Macaca mulatta: one gene and its partners. The protein of the gene in region 5 interacts with the protein of the main gene of each other region in a biochemical or structural test. Links are inferred from orthologs where the notes say so. Each region holds a gene or a part of one and is shown on either strand. Other genes may lie near its edges.

Region 1 (4,040 bases), on a different chromosome or scaffold from region 5:
AGTCTCTGCTGCTTTTCTGGCCCAGTAGTTAGAAACTATTTAATCACTTCCAGTCTTGAATGTGAGACCTCCTGATAACAGGAGCCTTCTGAGCCAGAAGGCCAAGCTCTAGGTCAGACTCCTGCTTCCCCAGGGAGGAAAAGCCTGAGCTTGCAAATGAAGAAAAGTGCCTGTGCCACCACCTGCTCTCAGTGCCACAGCCACGAAGGGCTGCTGGTGCCACTCACCAGCTTCGGAGGCCTGCCCAAGGCTCCTGATCAGGCGGCCGTCTGGTCCAATCAGCATCTGCCCACGTGCAGCCCTCGGCGCCCCTGTAGGGCCAGGCTTTGGGGACTCTGGCAGGTGAACGACGGCACAGCCTTCATCCCACACATGGTCCAGGTAGGCCTGGGCCCCGAGGAAGAGGAGTCGCTTGGTCTTCTCTGGGGGAAGACAAATCATTCTCACATCCTTCACTGTGTACCAACGAAGCCCCTGCATGGCCACTTAGTCTTTCCAGCCTCACATGAACCCCATCGTCCTCCTGTGTGCCCTCTGTCACCCAGTGACCCCAGCCTGTGTTGTGCCCTGGCGAGCTGGGTCCTGCTCTGCCTCTGAGAATGCTCGTGCCTCCCTTCCTTACCTGGCTTAGTTGTCATCTCCTCCAGGAAGGCTCAGGCCCTGCAGCCCCACCTGTGCCTGATGCAAGGGTTCCCTCTCCTATCACTCTGCTCACTTTCGGCAACTCACGGCCGGCCTTGCCTCACTGAGCTTGTTCCCCTTTCTCCCTTTTCTGCTTCCCCAGCACTCCTCACCTGGAAAGCAGGCTCTGTGGAATGCACAGAGGGAGCTCTGCACTGTGGAGCACTAATTCACAAAGCTTGTCACTGCCAAGGAAGCAGCCAGAAGCTTGGAGCTGGGCCTGCAGCCTCTGGCCAGCGCACACCCCCTTCGCCTGCTACAGAGTTGCTGGCAAGACAAGCATCCCAGAACCTTCCAGATCTCGTTCTAGAATACCCACCCATCCCTGGGAGCAGTGATTTTCCATCAGGCCACAGTTCAGTCACTGGGGGAGGTTCCAAAAATCAGATGCCCAGGACCAGACCCAGAAATGCTTTGTTTTTGCTTTTTTTTTCCCACCTCATTATAACACAGTAAAGGCAGAGATCCCAGAAACTCTATGTGGCTTTACATGAAATGGGCAGCAATAATAGTGGGTAACTCAAATGGAGTAGCTGATGCCAGCCCACAACACCCTGCACCTCTTCCTCCTGGCCCCCCATACCTTCCCCCATCTATAATGGGAAAGGAATGGGACAGACATGTGGTGAGGCTAATCCTTGTCCTTAAGGCCTTGTGGACAATTCGAGGTTAAGAGATCAGGGTGACAGCTGTGGCCTGGAATTTGGAAACTGTCACACAGTTCAAAGTAGGTGTCCTGCATTTACCTACTTTGTAAAGAGTAAAGAGCCAGACTGAGCCAGGCCCGGTTTCCATCTTCCTTTCTTGCCTGCACAGTGTTTGAATTTTTCAACTGTCCTGAGAGGGCAGGCGCCTGCAGTCCAGCCACAGTTCCCATGGCATCATTCCTCTTAACTCCGCATGGCCCGGGATAGCACTCGCTTGCACAGCCCTAGCACACTGGAGACACGGCACACAGGAACCTCGGGAGGAAGCGTCTTTCCTTCATCCCCAAGGCACAAGCGGCACCAGACAAATCACACCCCCCGGGTCATCCTCTAACGGCTCTACAGGTGCAGACCTTGTGCCCCAACCACTAGGCAAGGTAAGCTCCACTTTGCACCTGCCCCAGGGTATTAATCATCCCAGTCAGAGTGATGATCAATAAGACCAACACGCCTGAAATCCAAGGGAGAAAGCCAGAGAAGGCCTGGGAGCTCACTGCCCTCACATCCCACCCAGAACTGGACATTCCAGCCACACGGAGTCCTACTTCGCTCTCCTGCTGCCTGGCTTCTGCCTCGGCCTCTTCCGTCCCTGCCTCTGCCTGGCTAACTCGCACTCTCCCCACAGGATTCGGCTCAGACTCTGTTCTTCCGAGAAGCCTTCCATGCCGTCCCTGCAGGTGCGACTGCACAAACCTGTGCCTGCCCGGATCACCTGTGGCGATTCCTTCTCCTGCTGGTCTCCCCAACTAGGTTGGGGAGCTCCCGGGAGACGGGACACATCTGTCTTGCCCGCCTTTGGTCTCCCAGGACAGCCGCAGTGCCTGGCAGGGGCGGCGCGCTCCATGAATACCTCTTGGGTCAGGAGGGGCACTCTTCAGGTTAACTCCATGCAGGACGCCCCGCTCCCCGACCTCTCCCAGGGCATCCTGCACGGGACAGTCCTGAAGAAGCACCAGGCAGCTGCCGCTCACTGAGGGGCGGCGACTAACTGGGATCGTGGAAGAGGGCACGGGGACTAAGGGCAGCGACCCTCTTCTTTCAGGTTGTTGGACAAGGTGGGTGAACGCTGGGGTCCTCACATCCCCCTCACTGACTCCAGCCCTGGGCGTGGCCAGCTTGTGTAACCGCGGCCAGAAAGCAGGGCCCTCGAGCCCCCCGCTCAGGCCTCAGAGGAGACACTGAGGCCCGGCCCGTTCCAGGCCCCGACGCAGTGGACCCTCGGCAGCCCTTCCGGCACTCACCGAAGACCTCCTGCGAGTAGCGCTCGGCACACACGCCGCGGCTCACCTCCCTCTGGCCCACGCGGACCTTGAGCTGTAGCGGGGCCGCGTCCGCGAAAGGGCAGCCCCGCTTGGGCATTGCCTCGGGGCCGGGAGCTACGCAGCCCCCCGGCCGCCAGCCCCTTACCAACGACGCAGTGACGTCACAGCCGCGCGCCCATCCGCGGGCGTGAGCGGGTTTGAGGCAGAGGAAGCGACGCGGCGCGTGATAGGCTGCGGGTGAAGTGGGGGGCGGGGCTCCTGCGCGGAGCGGCGCGGGATAGGCGGAGGACGAGATCGGGGGTGGGACTCATATGCCGGTGTACTGGATTCGACCGCGCGGGAAAGGCCAGGGGCCAGGTTGAGGATCAGGGTGGGCGGGTCTGTGGGAGGGATTTGTGCGCACGCGGCTCAGGATAGGCGGGAGGACAGTCTAGGGGCGGGGTTCCTATGCAGTGCGAAGCGAGGTAGGCTGGGAACCAGGTCAGGGGCGGCATTCGGCTGCGCGGGAAGAGCCAGCGGGTGAAGCCGAGGGTCAGGACGGTGCAGCAAGGGCGGTGCGTTTAAGGGGCGGAGCTTGTGCATCGGGGGCGGGCCTCGTTTGAGGATCGGCGTGGGAAACGCCAGGGCGACGTCGGAGCGGGTCTAGTTTGAGGAACGGCGCGGGATTGGCCAGGGGACGGCCGGGTCGGTGGCGGGATTCCTGTCAGCTTTTGTTTGATGCCTAAACAGTAGACACTGGTTATAGTTCCTCATTTACTTCTCCGAAGTTAAGGGGCAGTCCGCTTTTTCCTAGCTCTTTTTTCCTTTTAGAGACAGGGTCTCGCTCTGTCACCCAGACTGGAGTGCTGTGGTAGTCTCGGCTCACTGCAGCCTCCGCCTTCCGGGCTCAGGCGATCCTCCCTCCTCTGCCTCCCGGGTAGCTGGGACCGCAGGCGCGCGCCTCCGCGCTCCGCTTTTCGGTTTTGGGTAGGAACGGGGTTTCGCTCTGTTGCCTCGGCTGGTCTAGCTCCTCGCTGTGGCGGTCCCCGCCTTCCGGAAGTAAAGGCGTGTGGGGGCTGCGCTCCGAGGGCCGCGTGCGGCTGCCGAGCGCCCCCGGGCGGGGGTGTGTGGAAAATGTTCTTGCACAGCGGGGTCGTCTGACTTGGGGTCCCCAGGCCGCGCGGTGCACCCGCGTCGTCCCTTCTCCGGGGTTCTGCTCACCAGAGGCGGCTCTCCCCTGCCCGGCGGGTGCAGAACCGACGCGTCCTGTGGCGTGGGCTTCACCTTGGACTATGTTCTCCTCGCGGCTCGGTCGGCGCCGCCTCCCGTGTGAGGAGCTGACGCCTGGAACCCTGCAAACCCATCCCGCGTGACACCCGCGGCGCAGCTGCCCGCACCCCCTCGGAGGCAG
Region 2 (3,095 bases), about 76 Mb from region 5:
AGTCCCCCCATTCTGAGAGTGGTGGTGCCAACAAGGCTGGTTTCAGGATTGGGAACCAGGACACAGGTCTTAGAGCCCCCTCACCTCCCACAAAGGAAGGTAAGCTGCAACCCCTGTGGGAAGCCAGCCTCAGCCATCCAGGGCGCTCAGCACTCCCCAGACCTGCCTGTTCCCCTTGTCCACCGTTTCCACCAAAGCCCACAGGTGGGCCTGCCCCAGGATTCTTCAGGGAAGTTCAGAGACCGAGTTCTGGATGTTCAGGCATCCCTGGGTGCACGGGCAGGCTGCCTCAGGAGACTCACCTGCTGCTGACGCTAGTGGGCAGTCACGGGCACAAGAAGGCCTGGGACTCGCCACGCAGGCAGTGCTGCTCCCTGGTGTCTCTGGCACCTCTGGGGCCACCCACGGATGGGACCTCGCGGGTATCTCTGAATCCAAGTGGGAGCTGGAGGAGGGATGCAGGGAGGCCCGCTCAATGCCTGCCCCGAATCTGACACCATCTTTTATCCTCTGGGCCACTCCCAGCCACACACAATCCATTGGCTGGGTGGGTCCAGGTACATGTGGCTTCCACAGCACAGCCACACCCCGACTCCTACGTGTGCTCCCTGCAGTGACATGTTGGCCCTGCGGCTGGCCTGCATCGGGGACGAGATGGATGTGAGCCTCAGGGCCCCGCGCCTGGCCCAGCTCTCTGAGGTGGCCATGCACAGGTAACCGGCCTGTGCCCTGCCCAGGCCTCTATACCTGGGGAGGGGCCCTGGGCGGTGGGTAAAGGCCCTGAGTGCAGCATAGGGCTGGGCAATGTGGGGAAGCCCTGTGGGGAATGTATCCTGACACTCTGGGGCTGTACCGAAACCCTTTGCTGCTTCCCGCACCTCCCTGGGAGCCCCCAGCTCCTGGCACTGGCCCCCTGCCACCTGTCCCTGGCATTCCTGGGCAACAGACAAAGCAGAGCCCAGGGCCCTTCTCTCGCCATCCTCATCAAGCCCAGATGGTACATTTCCACCATGGTCTTTAAAGGAGGTGCAACGTAAGCTCGGATCCTAGACCCTGAGGGCTGGGCCTCTCAGCTAGTCTCCGGTGGGGGAACAGAGTGGGCAGTGGCTTGCCAGGGCCCTGTAGAATGGGGGTTTATTTTCTATGTGGCCAGCTCCGGAAGACAGGGACACTGGCAGGCGGCTGGCTGGGGAAGGAAGCAGGAAATCAGAATGAATTTCACCACAAACAGGCCCCTGCAGGTGAAGGTGCCCATGGAAAGGGCCCCGCGTGGCTGTGGGGTGGGAGGGCACAGGCCCCTGCTCCCCACAGCTGTGATGGTGTCATCTAAGTACAGGCTGTCCCTACCTGTTCCTGCAGTAATGGCTTTGTCCCCCCATCCTCTTTGTCTGTAGCCTGGGTCTGGCTTTCATCTACGACCAGATGGACGACATCAGGGATGTTCTTAGAAGTTTCATGGATGGTTTCACCACCCTTAGGGAGAACATAATGAGGTTCTGGAGATCCCCGAATCCCAGGTCCTGGGTAAGAGCCTTAGAGATTCCTGACCCTGATTTGCTCTGCGGCCAGTGGGGGCTGTCAGAGCTGCTCCTCAGGGCGCCACAGTCCCCATCACTCCCTGTCATCTGCTGTGTCATCATTGTCCACATCCGCCTGGTCCCATAGGCTTCTGAGTTTGGGATTCCTGGTTATGAGTGCACAAACCAGTGCGTGGTCCTGGGTCTCCCTCTGGCCCGAGAGCCTTCACCTGGCAGACAGGATTCTCGTCTCCTCGCCAGGGCAGAGGCCTCCCTGAGCAGCCGTCCTGGCAGCCTGGTGCCACTCTGCACTGCCCACCACCAGGGCAGCTAACCGCCCTGACCTGTGTCCACCCTTTGCCTGTGTCCCACAGACTGGCAGCCGCTGGCCTCTTTGGCCATGTCCTCAGGGCCACTTTCCCCCTCTCCTGAACTCCTTCCTTCTCTGGTTCCCTCGAGCTGCTTCCCAGTCCCCACCTCCCTGGGCTTCCCCTTGGAACTCTGCTGTCACCCCGTCTGGCCTCATTGCTGGGGCCTGCTCCGAGCCTGACTCCTCTGTTTTACTCCCGCAGGTGTCCCGTGAACAGGTGCTGCTGGTGCTGCTGCTGCTGCTGGCACTGCTGCTGGCGCTGCTCAGCGGGGGCCTGCACCTGCTGCTCAAGTGAGGCCCCAGCGGCTCAGGGCAGGGCTGGCCCCACCCCTGTGACCACTGCCCTGGAGGTGGCGGCCTGCTGCTGTTGTCTTTTTAACTGTTTTCTCATTATGCCTTTTTATATTTAAACTCTGAGATAGTGCTGGAACACTGCTGAGGTTTTATACTCAGGTTTTTTGTGTTTTTTTAAATTCCAGTTTTCGTTTTTTCTAAGAGATGAATTCCTATGGCTCCGAACTTGTTGCCGGTTAACTGTGGCTTGTGCCCAGGAAGAGCCATTCACTCCTGCCCCCGCCCACACGGCAGTTAGCAGGGGGAGTGCTGGCCACACCCCTGTGTGATGTGTGATGCCCTTGGCAAAGAATCTACCGGAATAGATTCCAAGGAGCAGGAGTGCTCAATAAAATGTTGGTTTCCAACAGACTCTGGTCCTCTCTGGGAGTTGGCAGTACCTGCACAGGCTTCCTCTTGCCCCAGGGAGGCGCACCGTGTTGGTGGGGAGGGCAGGGCCTGTGTGTTCCTAATCAGATCCTTCCCTGCAGCCGGGGACCACAAATGCCGTCTTGGTTTGGCCCAACGGTTTGCCTTCTCCCTTGTCCTGGTCTGTGGCGTAAAATCCACTGTTGGGGGTTATTTCCTTTGGGCTTTCAGTTCCTGTTTAGGGGATGCCTGTCTCTCCCTGCACAGACTTCCAGCCAGAAGGACGCAGCCGTGGCTGTTCTACCAGAACAGAGCCCCTCACTCTCTGGCACACAGTAGGCACTCAATACATATGTCTTGGGTATGTCAACAAATGTGGGACTCTGTTTCCCAGCTGTCAAGTGAGGGGGTGAACAAAACTGCCAAGGCCAATTGGGTTCTACAACCTTTCAGATTTGTGACCAAGGAGCCCTGGGGGGCAGGCTGGCGGTGGAGGAGGGGCTCCC
Region 3 (4,290 bases), on a different chromosome or scaffold from region 5:
GAATCCGTCCTACACTCCCTAGGATCTTGAAGGAGGCTCTTCTTTACATTCCCAGTCACCCCTCCCCCAGCTCCTACACAGGGCCTAGGCACCCTGTCTGCACCCCACTTCCACTCTGTATCAGCTGCCATGTTCCTCAGCACCCTATCCCACTGAAACAACTTTTCTAACTCAAGTCGCCACGTTCACATTTAATCTGCCGTCTCTTTCCAGCAGCCAGTCCTGATTGCCTCCTCCGCAGCCCCAGTTGCCTACTGCTTTAGCTAGTGTCGCTGCTGGCTGTGAGGAGTGTCCTGATTCTGTAACCCGGCACCTCCTCCACAGGGCCCTAGACGCCTGAAGCATTCGAGGACGTTTGTTGATCAAAGGCGAAGGGTGTGCAGAAGCTTCGTCCATCTACGAATTAATTCTCGAAACCCGCTTCAAGTGGGCCTCGCGCGGAACACAGGGAACACTCAGTGGTGAACGAGACCACTCGCTTAGGCCTAGCAAGGAGAAGGTGACCGTTCACTCAACACATACTAACTGGGTCCCACAGGAGCACAGGCCCCGGCTGGTCGCGTGTTCCCCGCGGTGCCCTCAGCCGGCCGGCCGGCCAGAACCGGCGTGATTTCCTCGCGCCGAGAGACCCAGCAGGAGCCTCGCAAAACCCAATTCACGTTTTATTTTATTATTTTGCCTCTCGAATGCATGGAAATTGGCTGTTAGTAGCTTTGCTACAGGAGAAAATCGCTAATCTGCGGTGCAAAATCGGCACACAGGGGTTTTCTCCGCGATTGTCTAGACGCCATGCGGGCGGGTCGGAGGCGCCAGACACATTGTATCCGGAGCGCGGAGCTCTGGAGCAACAGTCGCCGCTGCTACTCAGTATCTGCGCCGCTCCCAGCGCCCAGTGTCCGCGCTGGGCCTGAGACTGACCTCGGGGGATGGGGCCCACCCGGGCTTTGATGGGGGGCCGGGGGTCACTTCGTCCACCCAGGCAAGGCTCGAGTCCAGCGCCGGCCACATCAACTCCCGGGGGATCTAGCAGCGCGGAGGCCGACCAGGAGGCCCAGAAGCCCCGCGCGTCTTCCATTAGCGCAGGGACCTCGGGGCCACCGCTCAGAGAATCAGAAGGCCTCCTCCCCCTTCCCGAGCGCTGCCACTGGGGCCGAGGTTTCCAGCAAGAACCCGCGTGTCCCTGCGCACGCACACACGGTGCACACGTCAATACCGCGCCTCCCCGTGCCCGGGCTCACGCAGGTCCTCCCGCGCGTCCGCAACGCGCCCGCAGGCTACCGTGTCTGCTGCCGGGGCCGCGGGGCCCGGAAGGGTAAGAACGCGACTCGCGAGCTGGACGAGGACCCCGGCCCGGCCCGGACGCTTTCCCGGGCGGGGCCTGGGGGCGGAGCGCGCCGGACCCGGCGCGCGAGAGGGGAGGCGGGTCCGCGCCGCCGCCGTCCGCGCCGCCCCGCCCTTGGCCCCGCCGCTTGCTCGGCTCCGCTCCCTGCGTCCGCGCCGCAGCCCCCGCCGTAGCCGCCTCCGAGCCCGCCGCCACCGCCTCTGAGGTAGGCGCAGCGGAAAAGGACCCTGGCTCCCTTGCGCCCTGGACGGCGGGGGCCGGGCCCCTGGGGAACTGAGAGGGAGGCGCTGAGGGAGGAGCGGGCGAGGGGCCTCGGGAGTCCGGCCCCGGGGAGGGAGCCCGAGCGGCTGGCGCGGGCCTGGCTGGTTAGCTGGCGGGCAGAGAAGGCCGCGCAGGCGGGCGCCGAACGGGTCCGGGCTGGGGACCGCGAGGCCGGGGGTCCGGAGACGCTTGCGGCTGGCGGCGAGAGGCGTCCCGAGCTTGCGGGCGGAAGGGCAAGGGCGGCCGCGTGGAGGCCCGGCGGGCCGCGCGTCTAGGTGACCTTCCCCGGCGGCGCCCTCTGGCCCTGGATCCCACCAGCGTGGATCCGGCGGGGACCCGTTCGCCGCCCACGCTCGCTGGACCAGGCCAGCAGGCTGGTGCCGGCCACGCTGCCGCCGCGGGGATGAGCTCACGTGACGACCGTGGCCCCGCGTCCCCAGGCCCACGCGTCGTGGCCGGCCCACGCCCGCAGAAGCTGGCGCCCGGCACCGCCCGCCTGTGCCAGAGCCTTCTAGGGCGGAACCCGCCGGCCGAGAGTCGACTTAGGCCGTAGAGGCCGGAGCTCGGGCCTGGGCTGGAGGTTTGGCCTAGGAAAAGGAGGCCCCACGGGGAAGGATGTGGCCTTCTTGGCCTTAGGAGTGATTCCTGGTTCGGTCGTTCATTCATTTGCCAAACGCGGAGGTGCATTTGGGAGCCTGACGTTGGATCAGAGGCCGGCAGTCCTAGTCATTTGTACAAGGTCACACAGCTGGGAAGATCGCAGACCTTCGTTTTCTCATCTGTAGGATGGGAGCAATTATACCTCTCCTTCGTTGAGTTTTGGGGAAGAATAAAATGAATTAATTAACATGAAACCTTTAGAACAGTGCCGGTATGGAGAAGGGCTAAGTAGAAACCCTGACACCCTTGGGGCTTTTTGGGTGAATCCAGCCCATCCCCTGCAGACCATTTTGCTACACGTGGCGTTGTGGAAAGGGTTCAATAAATGTAGCTCCTGTTTTTAAGCATTTTTGCACTATTATTGACAAGCATTTGTATACCAGGTATTGAGTAACTTTCACGTTAATTTATGAAAAGTGTTGTAAGTTTACAGATGGACATTGTCAAGCTCGAGCAGTAAGTTTGCATGTGGAGACCTTGATTGCAGGAGCAGACCCTGTTTTAGAGGCCTGATCGGTCCGGGGTCCCTGTCCCCTTGACTAGCCTCTCCTCTCCTGGGGAGATAAGGGAAAGGGCTCCTCTGTTGCCTAAACTTCTCCACTGAGGCAGGGGAAGACCAGGGCAGACTACCGAGGGCCTGCCTGCATTCTGCCCACCCCAGCTCTGGACCGACTCAGCTCTTAAGGGTCAGACTGAGGCACTGAGGCCCTGTGCTACTTTGTCTTCAGTGCCTGGCGTGATGCTGTTTGGCACACAGTAGGTGCTTGAGAAGGGTCTGTGGGGGTAAATGCACTCTTGTATCAGAATCCACCCACCTTTATTGACAGAGTTTTACTATTTCAGTACATGGTACATAGTGGGTGCTTATTAGGTATTTGTGGAATTTTTGAATGGGCATGTGAAGGGCTGCAGGCCCAGACCATAGTCCTTTGATCCTAAACGTTTTTTCTTTTTCTTTTTTTTGAGACAGGGTCTTGCTCTGTTGCCAGAGTGCAGTGGCACCATATTGGCTCATGGCAGCTTCTATCTCCTGGGCTCAATCAATCCTCCCACCACAGCCTCCCAGAGTATCTGGGATCCCAGGCACACACTACCACGCCTGTCTAATTTTTGTATTTTTAGTAGAGTGGGGTTTCACCATGTTGGCCAGGCTGATCTCAAACTCCTGGCCTCAAGCAATCCACCCACCTCAGCCTCCCAAAGTGCTGGGATTACAGGTGTGAGCCACCATGCCCGGTCCTGGACATCGTTTTGAGGGACACACACATCTCACTTGTGGAAAACAGCCTCACCTAGAAGAGAGTCACAGATATTTAAAGAACTGTAACAGACTGTATAGTCTCTTGAAATAAGTGCTTTAAACACATTGTCTTCATTCTCTGGTTTTCCAAGTCCCGAGGGAAACTTGTTGAACTGGTGTTTCTGGGCTTGCAGGGCGGGTGACGTGGGTGATTGGGATTCTACAGAAGGTGTTGGGTCTGTTACCCCTTCCCTCGTGGTGGGTGGATGGACAGCTTATGCTGGGGTTGTCCAGAGTAGGGTGCCTGCCTCTGGGTAGTGGGGACTACTCATTGTTGATGATTTAGTTTTATTTCTGCTATTCTAGAGTGGGGCTGTAGGCAGGGGTTATTTGTAGCATAGAAAGTGGGAGACCATACAGGGATGAAGTGCCTGTGGGCCCCTGGCCTTGCTGAACACTAGGCGAGTGTGGACAGTGAACATGTTGGGGTGGTGAAGGGCCTCCACCCTCCACCCTTACCAGGAAGATGCTCCTGAAGCACTGAAGTCCACTTCGCCCTGATGGAATTTCCCATGGTGCAGTGTCTTCAGTGGTAGTGACAGAGAGGCGCATGTATGGCTGAGGACCAGCCCAAGCCTGGAGGCAGCACCTCCCAGTGCTCCAAGATTCTGTAGTCTGCGGCTTTGGGTTTTCCATGGACTCCTGTGGTAGCCACTGAGAAAAGGTGACCAGTGGGCTTCTCAGCTGGGTCTGGGCACATTTCTCCATTTTACCGCGTACTCAGGGG
Region 4 (3,599 bases), on a different chromosome or scaffold from region 5:
CCCGCCCCTCCCGCAGCCTCCCCTTCCAGGCCCCGGGAGCGGTCCCATCCCTGACACTTAACACACCGGTAAACGGGAACACAGTCAGGCTCCGGCCCGAATCCTCCGCCTCCCGGGAGGGTGCACCCGACATCCCGCACGCCTGGTCCCAGGAGGGGAGCGCTTATCCAGTCTCCTGGACAACAGAACCAGAGAAAGACGTGTCCCAGCCCTCTCCACAGTGCTATTTGATTTTACTCCCTTCCTCTCTTTCCTTCTCATTCACTTTTCAATTGTCTTGCAACTTGTTTTCCAGGCAGTTTCTCTTTTTCTCTATCCTCCCCAAACTTCTTGTCCCTCCCCATCTCGTCGCCTGTTTTTTCTCTCCCTCTTCACCCACTTTTTCTTCTGCCTCTTCCCAAATTCCACGCTTTGGACTTCGCGTCTGTCGCTCAACTTCCTTTTTCTGCTCCCCGCGATAGATCTAAAATGTTTTTCCCGTCCCTGGAACTGGGCAGCCTCAGCCTGACCCCTTTCAGTCGCGGGAGCTCCCAGCCTCTCCAACAGGAAAGGGAGAAGGCGGGGAGAAGTGGATGGGACCCCCGGCGCCCGGGAGCCGAGCGGAGAGCGCCCCGAAGTGCGCACTTCTCTTTGCCAGCGCCCGGGCTGCGCGGGCCCACGCGACATCTGTCGCCTGCGGTCCCGGCTCACACCCCGCGCACCCCCGCAGCTCCCTGGGCGCTGCCACCCCCCACGCTCCGGCTGCCGCCTTTCCCCGCGGGCGCAGACGCTCGGGCCTCGCCTTCGGGCGCCGCTCCAACTTCCCAGGGTGTCTGCGGCGCGCGGCGGGGCTCGGCGGCGGGGACCCAATGGCGGCTGGCTATGTCACCTTTGATATTCACCTTCCGGCCCTAGACTCATCTATGGTGGGCTCAGCCTGATTCTCCCTCATTTTCTGCAGCGCTCCTCGCTACTCCAGGATCCAGAGTAGTAAGACGATGCTTACACTGTGCGCTTCCTCAAAGCGCCTAGCACAGTGCCAGGCGCACAGCTAGGGCACAATAATTCCCCCACCCCAAGAACCTAGTATCTTCCTCCCACTGATACCGACCACACTAGGCGCTCAATACCCACTTCCCGTCCTAAGTTCTCAAAGCATTACCCCCCTAAACAGTGCCCAGCACCCCGAAGGAGCTCAATAAATGTTCCTTCCTTAAGGCTTCCCATTGGAGTTTGCCTGAAAGCCTTCTATTCCAGCCCACTCCGAAGGCGTCTCCTTCCCATCGCAGCTACAACCGTCTGGAGAGAAGGAAGCCAAACTCCTTAAACAGGACACCTCACTGGAGAAGGAGCGACGTTGGCAGGGCAGAAGAAAACTGCAAATGCGCGGAGCTTGGGAAGAAAGATTGGGCCAGCCAGAAACCTGGAAGGGGAGGAAGTCTCGAGATGCGCTTGCGGTGCCAGAGAATGGGGATCAGAGATTGGAGAAGTGACACTTAGGGAGAAGAGGTTGGGAGCAAAGGTGATGGAGACGGTGGCGACTCAGGAACAGCAAGAGGCTTGGAAGGGGACCGAGGACCTTTCTTGGAACTGCGATAGACTTTAAGTATTTGGCGTGGCTTACAACTATATTCTCATCGCAGGCACACTTTTTATTTGCATTGTGTGTTTATTTGTGGGGCTGGTGGGGATTATGGAGGTTGAAGTCCTCCTCAAGCCACCGAGCTATAAGTGAGTAGCAAGATGCGCTTAAGGACTCGGAGAGATAGGGGCAGAAATGGTGGACCTGACACTTGGAAGGAAAGACTGGGGACTGGGTAGGAGAGGGGGGCCGGAGATGCTTGCAAGAGAAAAGAACGGAGGAAGAAGGAGAAGGGAAGAGAAAAAAGCCAAACTTGCCACTCTCCCGCTCCCGGGCCAGTGCCCAGCTGCCGCGCCCTGGCTCTCGGTCGCTCGCTCGCGTACCTGTTGCTTGCTCCGGCTGGGTCTCGGCTCCGGCCCCACCAAGAAGCCCCGCGTTCCTACAAGTTCCGCCTGCCGAGCAGCCAGGCCGCCAGCGCCGCCACCTGCGCGGCCGCGCACAGCCAGGGCCAGTAGGTGGGGAGCGCGCCGGACGCCGGCGCCCTCCGGCTCCGCGCGCGGCGCCGCCACATGGTGCGCTGGTGCAGCTCGTCGCCAAGCGCCTTGAGCCGGGCGGCGGTGAGCTGCGCGGCGGACGAGCGCAGCCCCAAGCGACCCGCGCTGCAGGCGCACACGGCCGGGGGGCCGCGGCCGCGGTGCAGGGGGCACGGGCACATGACCGCTGGCCTCGCTCCCGCCCCGCGCTCGGGCCGCCCCTCGCCTCCTCTCCCTCCGGCCTCTGCGCCCGCTGCCGCCGCGCTCCAGCCGCCGGGGGCCTCCCCTGGACACCAAGTTTCTCCTTGTGTTGTGCGTTTGTTGTGCTGACGGCGCTATTATTAATTAAAGTGTCACATGGTGGAGGGGGGCGGGGAGGGGGGTTACATCATCCGGCCCCCGGGGGTGGGGGGGGCTGCAGGCAGAAGAAACCGAGAGGTAACTTTTAACCCTAGCGGCGCCGGCAGCAAGGGGGCGCGAGGTTTGGGAGACCCGGAGCGCGGCGCGGGGCGACGCGAGAAGGCGCCCCGCAGCGGAGGTCCCGGGCTTTGGGGGTCTCAGGGGACCCCCGCGGAGGCGAGGAGCGCGAGGGAAGGTTGTTCTCCTTCCCCTTTTCCTGAATTCAGCTCGAGTTCCGATTTGGCGAGGGAAGAAGGCTTGTTTGCCGTTTTGGATGAAGCTGATACTGAATTCGGCTGCATTATTCAAAAATATTCCGAGGCTGTTGTTTTGTTTGGGGGAGGTGGGTGGATTCAAACTCTTACGGAAGAGCAAGATTACACCTAACTTGCCTCGTTTCAGGTCTGACTTGGCACCTGTAGGCATTTAGCCTGACCCTAACGCGGCCCCAGCGCCTGGCTAGAAACCCTGACGTAGGCGTGATAGGGGGCTGGATGGGTCGGTCCTGAGCTCGCGAGGGGCGTGGATGGAGGCATTCTCGCTGCCCAGCACCCACACCCAAAAGACCCTCACAAGGGGCTTTCTAAAGGGAAACTTCTTGTCTGCTTTCTTTGTGAATATTATTTTCCTGATGGGGTTACAGTTTTCTGCGACGATCCCAATTTAATGCGCAGTGAATACCCTAAGGAGTCGGCGAGAGGAGGGGCGCGGGGGACTTTAATTCCTCCTTTTTCAACCCGACAGCCACTCCTGTGCACCTCCAGACTGGAGCGTCTGGAATTGTCACAGCCAGTGACGGTTCAGATGGGCTGGGCGGCTCTCAGCATTCTGTGGGGGGAGAATGAAACCTGCGATCTTAAATCGACTGGGATTCAGACAACTTTAGGATTCAGACGATCGGGATGAGTCCAGAGGTGGCTCCAAGTTGGGAGTCTGGAACCTGCTGAGGAAGCTTCCATTCTTTCCTTCCCACCGCACAGTATAACCAAGATTCTTCAAGTCTGTGAACTTAGTTTTGGTCTGAATTGATCAGGAGGAGAAATGTCCCTTTTGGCCTACAGCGTGTTGAAATGACAACAAAGTCAGGGGTCAGAGCTCACAACACT
Region 5 (4,144 bases):
TTCTATATATAAACTGACGGACGGATGAAATAGGCTGATTGACTGATGACTGACTGACTGACTGAATTAATGAATACATGGAAATGTGATTATAAATGTTGATTTTTTGCGCCTTCCGATTCCCCGGATCTACCGCGAGGGGGCGATCTCTCCCCGGTCCTGATGCCAGTCACTCAAGGCGCGCACTCCCTTTGCGTCTCGGGCTCGCGCGCGTTGCCGCAGCACCGGAAGTGACTGAGCTTGCAAGTTCCCCCGTCTCTTCAGGGGAAACTGAGGCCGGCTTGTTCGGGAGAGACGGCACGAGCAGTCAGCCAGGTAGGCCGGCAGCCAGGTAGGCCGGCCCGGGTCCGCGGCGCGGAACTCGGCCGCGAAGAGCTCTCGCGTCTGGAAGCTACCGGGCCGATGAAGGGGGATGTGGCCCCCCACGGCTCGCGGGGCTCACAGGTGAGAGCGCCGCCTCCCCTGTGCCTGACAGCCGCTGCGCCCAATAGGAGCCTTCGCCGTCCCGCTTCCGTGCCGGCTAGGCTCGCTGATTGGCGGCGCTGGGGAGGACCGCCGGGGGCGAGGCCCCTCCTCCTAGAAAGGTCTAGGGGGCGCCCCCGGGGGAGGGCGGTTGCTTAGCAACGGGGCGGTGGCTCGGCGGGTACCCGGCCTAGTGAGCGCGAGAAGCCGCGAGGCCGCAACCGGCCCACCCTGGGCTCCGGAGAGGTGCAGCCCCCGGCCCCGGAGCCCTCCCGGGGGCGCCAGGAAGCCACTTTGGGCCTGTCCCCAGGAAAACGTGGTCTCAGCTGTGGGGCCGTCGAGCAGGCCTCGACCCCTCTTCCTGACCTGAGGAGAGGCCCAGCGCCTCACCCTCACCCAGTCTTTGTGCAGGGCGCCGGCGGCCATTGTGTCCGGGCGGGGAATGGAGGACCCGGCAATTCCCCACCGCCACGTTCAGGGCCTTTGGGGAATTCAAAGAAAACCAGCGGCATTTGTAGGGGGTCTCCGGCCTTCAACCTCCCAGACAGGCCTGGGGGTGGCCTTCCCAAAGTCAGATCGCAGATCCGAGGCAGTTTCCCCCTCCCTGCGTCCCTCACCGAAACCTTGAACCCCATTGAGAAGTCCCTTCAGGGTTTCGGACGCCTCCACCTCACCCTGGGCTGGTACTTAAATAGAAAAAAGAAAGGAAAAAAAAAAAAACAACTAAATCCATACCAGCCACCTCCGGGAGAGTTCTCCTGGCTCCCAGTAGGAGGCGGAGAGCCAAGGGGCGTGCAAGAGCGAGGGGGCTGGGCTCCCGGGTGGCAGGAGGCCGCGGCTGCGGAGCGGCCGCCCTCGATCCGGGCGATGGAGGAGGAAGCAAGCGAGGGGGCTGGTTCCTGAGCTTCGCAATTCCTGTGTCGCCTTCTGGGCTCCCAGCCTGCCAGGTCGCATGATCCCTCCGGCCGGAGCTGGGTTTTTTGCCAGCCGCCGCGAGGCCGGCTGAGTTACCGGCATTCCCGCAGCCACCTCCTCTCCCGACCTGTGATACAAAAGATCTTCCGGGGGCTGCACCTGCCTGCCTTTGCCTAAGGCGGATTTGAATGTAGGTGGTGCGGGGGAGGGGGAGTGAGGGGGGGACTGCCCAAGGGGTGACTTTCCGAGGAAGGCATTTCGGAGAAGAGGGGGGTAGAAAAGGCTGGTGGGAGATTCAGAGTCCACTGGTGCTTTCGATTTGACTTAATTGAAGTATCTTGGAACCTAGATCCAGACCTTCGTAAGACCCACAAAGAAACCAGTTCTGGTACCTGGAGGGGGAATGGGATGTTTAGGGTAAGTGGCATGCATATTAATTTTTTTTTTTTCCTAAAGCTCTTTCTCTCCCTTCAGAATCTTATCTTGGCTTTGGATCTTAGAAGAGAATCACTAACCAGAGACCAGACTCAGTGAGTGAGCAGGTGTTTTGGACAATGGACTGGTTGAGCCCATCCCTATTATAAAAATGTCTCAGAGCAACCGGGAGCTGGTGGTTGACTTTCTCTCCTACAAGCTTTCCCAGAAAGGATACAGCTGGAGTCAATTTAGTGATGTGGAAGAGAACAGGACTGAGGCCCCAGAAGGGACTGAATCGGAGATGGAGACCCCCAGTGCCATCAATGGCAACCCATCCTGGCACCTGGTGGACAGCCCCGCGGTGAATGGAGCCACTGGCCACAGCAGCAGTTTGGATGCCCGGGAGGTGATCCCCATGGCAGCAGTAAAGCAAGCGCTGAGGGAGGCAGGCGACGAGTTTGAACTGCGGTACCGGCGGGCGTTCAGTGACCTGACATCCCAGCTCCACATCACCCCAGGGACAGCATATCAGAGCTTTGAACAGGTAGTGAATGAACTCTTCCGGGATGGGGTAAACTGGGGTCGCATTGTGGCCTTTTTCTCCTTCGGCGGGGCACTGTGCGTGGAAAGCGTAGACAAGGAGATGCAGGTATTGGTGAGTCGGATCGCAGCTTGGATGGCCACTTACCTGAATGACCACCTAGAGCCTTGGATCCAGGAGAACGGCGGCTGGGTAAGAACCAAGCCCCTTGTGTGTCCCTTTTCTTTGGCCTCTGGTCAGAGATCCCCAACTGCCCTTCTTCTGTATCTCTTTCTGTTAGGTTGGGTGATTGTTGGAGACATTGATAGTTGAGGAAACCTGATCTCATTTCACGACAAGAGGTTAACTCCCTGGAAATATAAATGACCCGGTGCTTCAGAGATCAGGCATCTTTTACCCTGGTCACCCCCATGACTCCACTATTCCATACTTGTGTTCCAGTTTCTTAGCAAAGAAAATTATAGCCTATGTGTTCATTAAGTCCCAAACCTGTGAGGGTAGGAAGTTAGTTTGGTGTTTCCCTTACCGTATACAATGGTTCACACACAAAAGGGTGATGAGTATCAGTGACCCACAGACCTCTCCATCTGTTCCCCCTAGGGGTCTCAGTCCTATCCTGGGCTTCTCTTCTCCAAATCAAGTTCCCTTGGCCGGGCGCGGTGGCTCAAGCCTGTAATCCCAGCACTTTGGGAGGCCGAGACGGGCGGATCACGAGGTCAGGAGATCGAGACCATCCTGGCTAACACGGTGAAACCTCGTCTCTACTAAAAAAAATACAAAAAATTAGCCGGGCGAGGTGGCGGGCGCCTGTAGTCCCAGCTACTTGGGAGGCTGAGGCAGGAGAATGGCGTAAACCCAGGAGGCGGAGCTTGCAGTGAGCTGAGATCCGGCCACTACGCTCCAGCCTGGGGGACAGAGCGAGACTCCGTCTCAAAAAAAAAAAAAAAAAAAAAAAAAAAGTTCCCTTTATTTCAAAGTTTCCGTGTAAGGCACTCTTCTCTCAGACTAGGGCATGGCCACAGGCAGGAGTTCCCACTGGGTTGAATGGCTGAGAATTGTCAGATTTTGGGGCAGTGTAGGCTGTGCAGATTGTGTTTGCACTGCGCCCCCTAAGTTCATTTCCCCCAAAGTGTGTGACTTTCTGCATGGTTGCCTTGTTTGTGGAGCACTTGCTGTGTCACACATTAAGCCCGGGAACTTTGCACCTCGTTGCCTGGGGTCGGTTGGGGAGCTCCAGCTGCTCTGCCTGTTACTTTCCGGCCAGAGCCCTGGGGCCTCTTCACCAAGCACTGTTTGCTGGCAAAGCAAGAACCCAGTCTTTGGGGCTCTGTGGGACATTCAGATTTAGTAACAGACTTCAGATGCAGGTATAAGTCCCTGTCTTAAAACTCTGTCATGTATCTAGCTCCGTCATATAGCTGTGTGACTTTGGACAGGCTGGGTTACTTTCTCAAGGCTTAGTTTCTTCCACTAAAAATGTGGCAAGCTCTCCTTGACTTACAGAGTATTGTAAATCTTGGCAATAATGTGAGCACAGTGACCAACACCAGCAAATTCCCTTTCCAGGGAGGGAGAGTTCTCCTGCTCATCACTGAGCCAGGATGAGGTGGTGGTGAAAGCTTCTTCACCAGTGGTCACTGTGGGCAAGTTTTGCTCTTCAGTGAACTCAGTCCTGGTTTCTTGCTTATTTCCTTACCTAGGGGAGGTGCAAGGTTTATGAGAGGTATTCTATCCCTTCAGAATATGCAGAAAAGCAACAAGCTGTGGAAAATAAGTCATCCATTGAAGGAGCTGAGGTGGAAGGGGACA

What was found.
Region 1: the proteins of BCL2L1 (region 5) and SIVA1 form a complex in vitro, tested with the Homo sapiens proteins (2 studies listed by BioGRID and IntAct). The link is inferred for Macaca mulatta from reciprocal best matches to the Homo sapiens genes BCL2L1 and SIVA1.
Region 2: the proteins of BCL2L1 (region 5) and BIK interact in a test that uses a peptide from one of them, tested with the Homo sapiens proteins (3 studies listed by BioGRID and IntAct, with this or other methods). The link is inferred for Macaca mulatta from reciprocal best matches to the Homo sapiens genes BCL2L1 and BIK.
Region 3: the proteins of BCL2L1 (region 5) and VDAC1 form a complex in vitro, tested with the Homo sapiens proteins (4 studies listed by BioGRID). The link is inferred for Macaca mulatta from reciprocal best matches to the Homo sapiens genes BCL2L1 and VDAC1.
Region 4: the proteins of BCL2L1 (region 5) and HRK interact in a biophysical measurement, tested with the Homo sapiens proteins (3 studies listed by BioGRID and IntAct, with this or other methods). The link is inferred for Macaca mulatta from reciprocal best matches to the Homo sapiens genes BCL2L1 and HRK.

The regions. Positions count from the first base shown.
Region 1 is NC_133412.1:178,193,786-178,197,825, reverse strand, and holds the start of SIVA1 (apoptosis regulatory protein Siva), read right to left. Parts: upstream 2,808-4,040; 5' UTR 2,748-2,807; coding exon 2,630-2,747; intron 423-2,629; coding exon of another isoform or gene 228-422; intron 1-227. UniProt on the Homo sapiens protein: Induces CD27-mediated apoptosis. Inhibits BCL2L1 isoform Bcl-x(L) anti-apoptotic activity. Inhibits activation of NF-kappa-B and promotes T-cell receptor-mediated apoptosis.
Region 2 is NC_133415.1:8,345,866-8,348,960, reverse strand, and holds the end of BIK (bcl-2-interacting killer), read left to right. Parts: intron 1-614; coding exon 615-713; intron 714-1,394; coding exon 1,395-1,524; intron 1,525-2,089; coding exon 2,090-2,182; 3' UTR 2,183-2,590; downstream 2,591-3,095.
Region 3 is NC_133411.1:142,905,581-142,909,870, reverse strand, and holds the start of VDAC1 (non-selective voltage-gated ion channel VDAC1), read left to right. Parts: upstream 1-1,484; 5' UTR 1,485-1,547; intron 1,548-4,290. UniProt on the Homo sapiens protein: Non-selective voltage-gated ion channel that mediates the transport of anions and cations through the mitochondrion outer membrane and plasma membrane.
Region 4 is NC_133416.1:124,145,114-124,148,712, forward strand, and holds the start of HRK (activator of apoptosis harakiri), read right to left. Parts: upstream 2,362-3,599; 5' UTR 2,277-2,361; coding exon 2,001-2,276; 3' UTR 1,945-2,000; intron 1-1,944. UniProt on the Homo sapiens protein: Promotes apoptosis.
Region 5 is NC_133415.1:84,545,282-84,549,425, reverse strand, and holds the start of BCL2L1 (bcl-2-like protein 1), read left to right. Parts: upstream 1-1,333; 5' UTR 1,334-1,567; exon of another isoform or gene 1,568-1,765; intron 1,766-1,833; exon of another isoform or gene 1,834-1,851; 5' UTR 1,852-1,963; coding exon 1,964-2,527; intron 2,528-4,144. UniProt on the Homo sapiens protein: Potent inhibitor of cell death. Inhibits activation of caspases. Appears to regulate cell death by blocking the voltage-dependent anion channel (VDAC) by binding to it and preventing the release of the caspase activator, CYC1, from the mitochondrial membrane.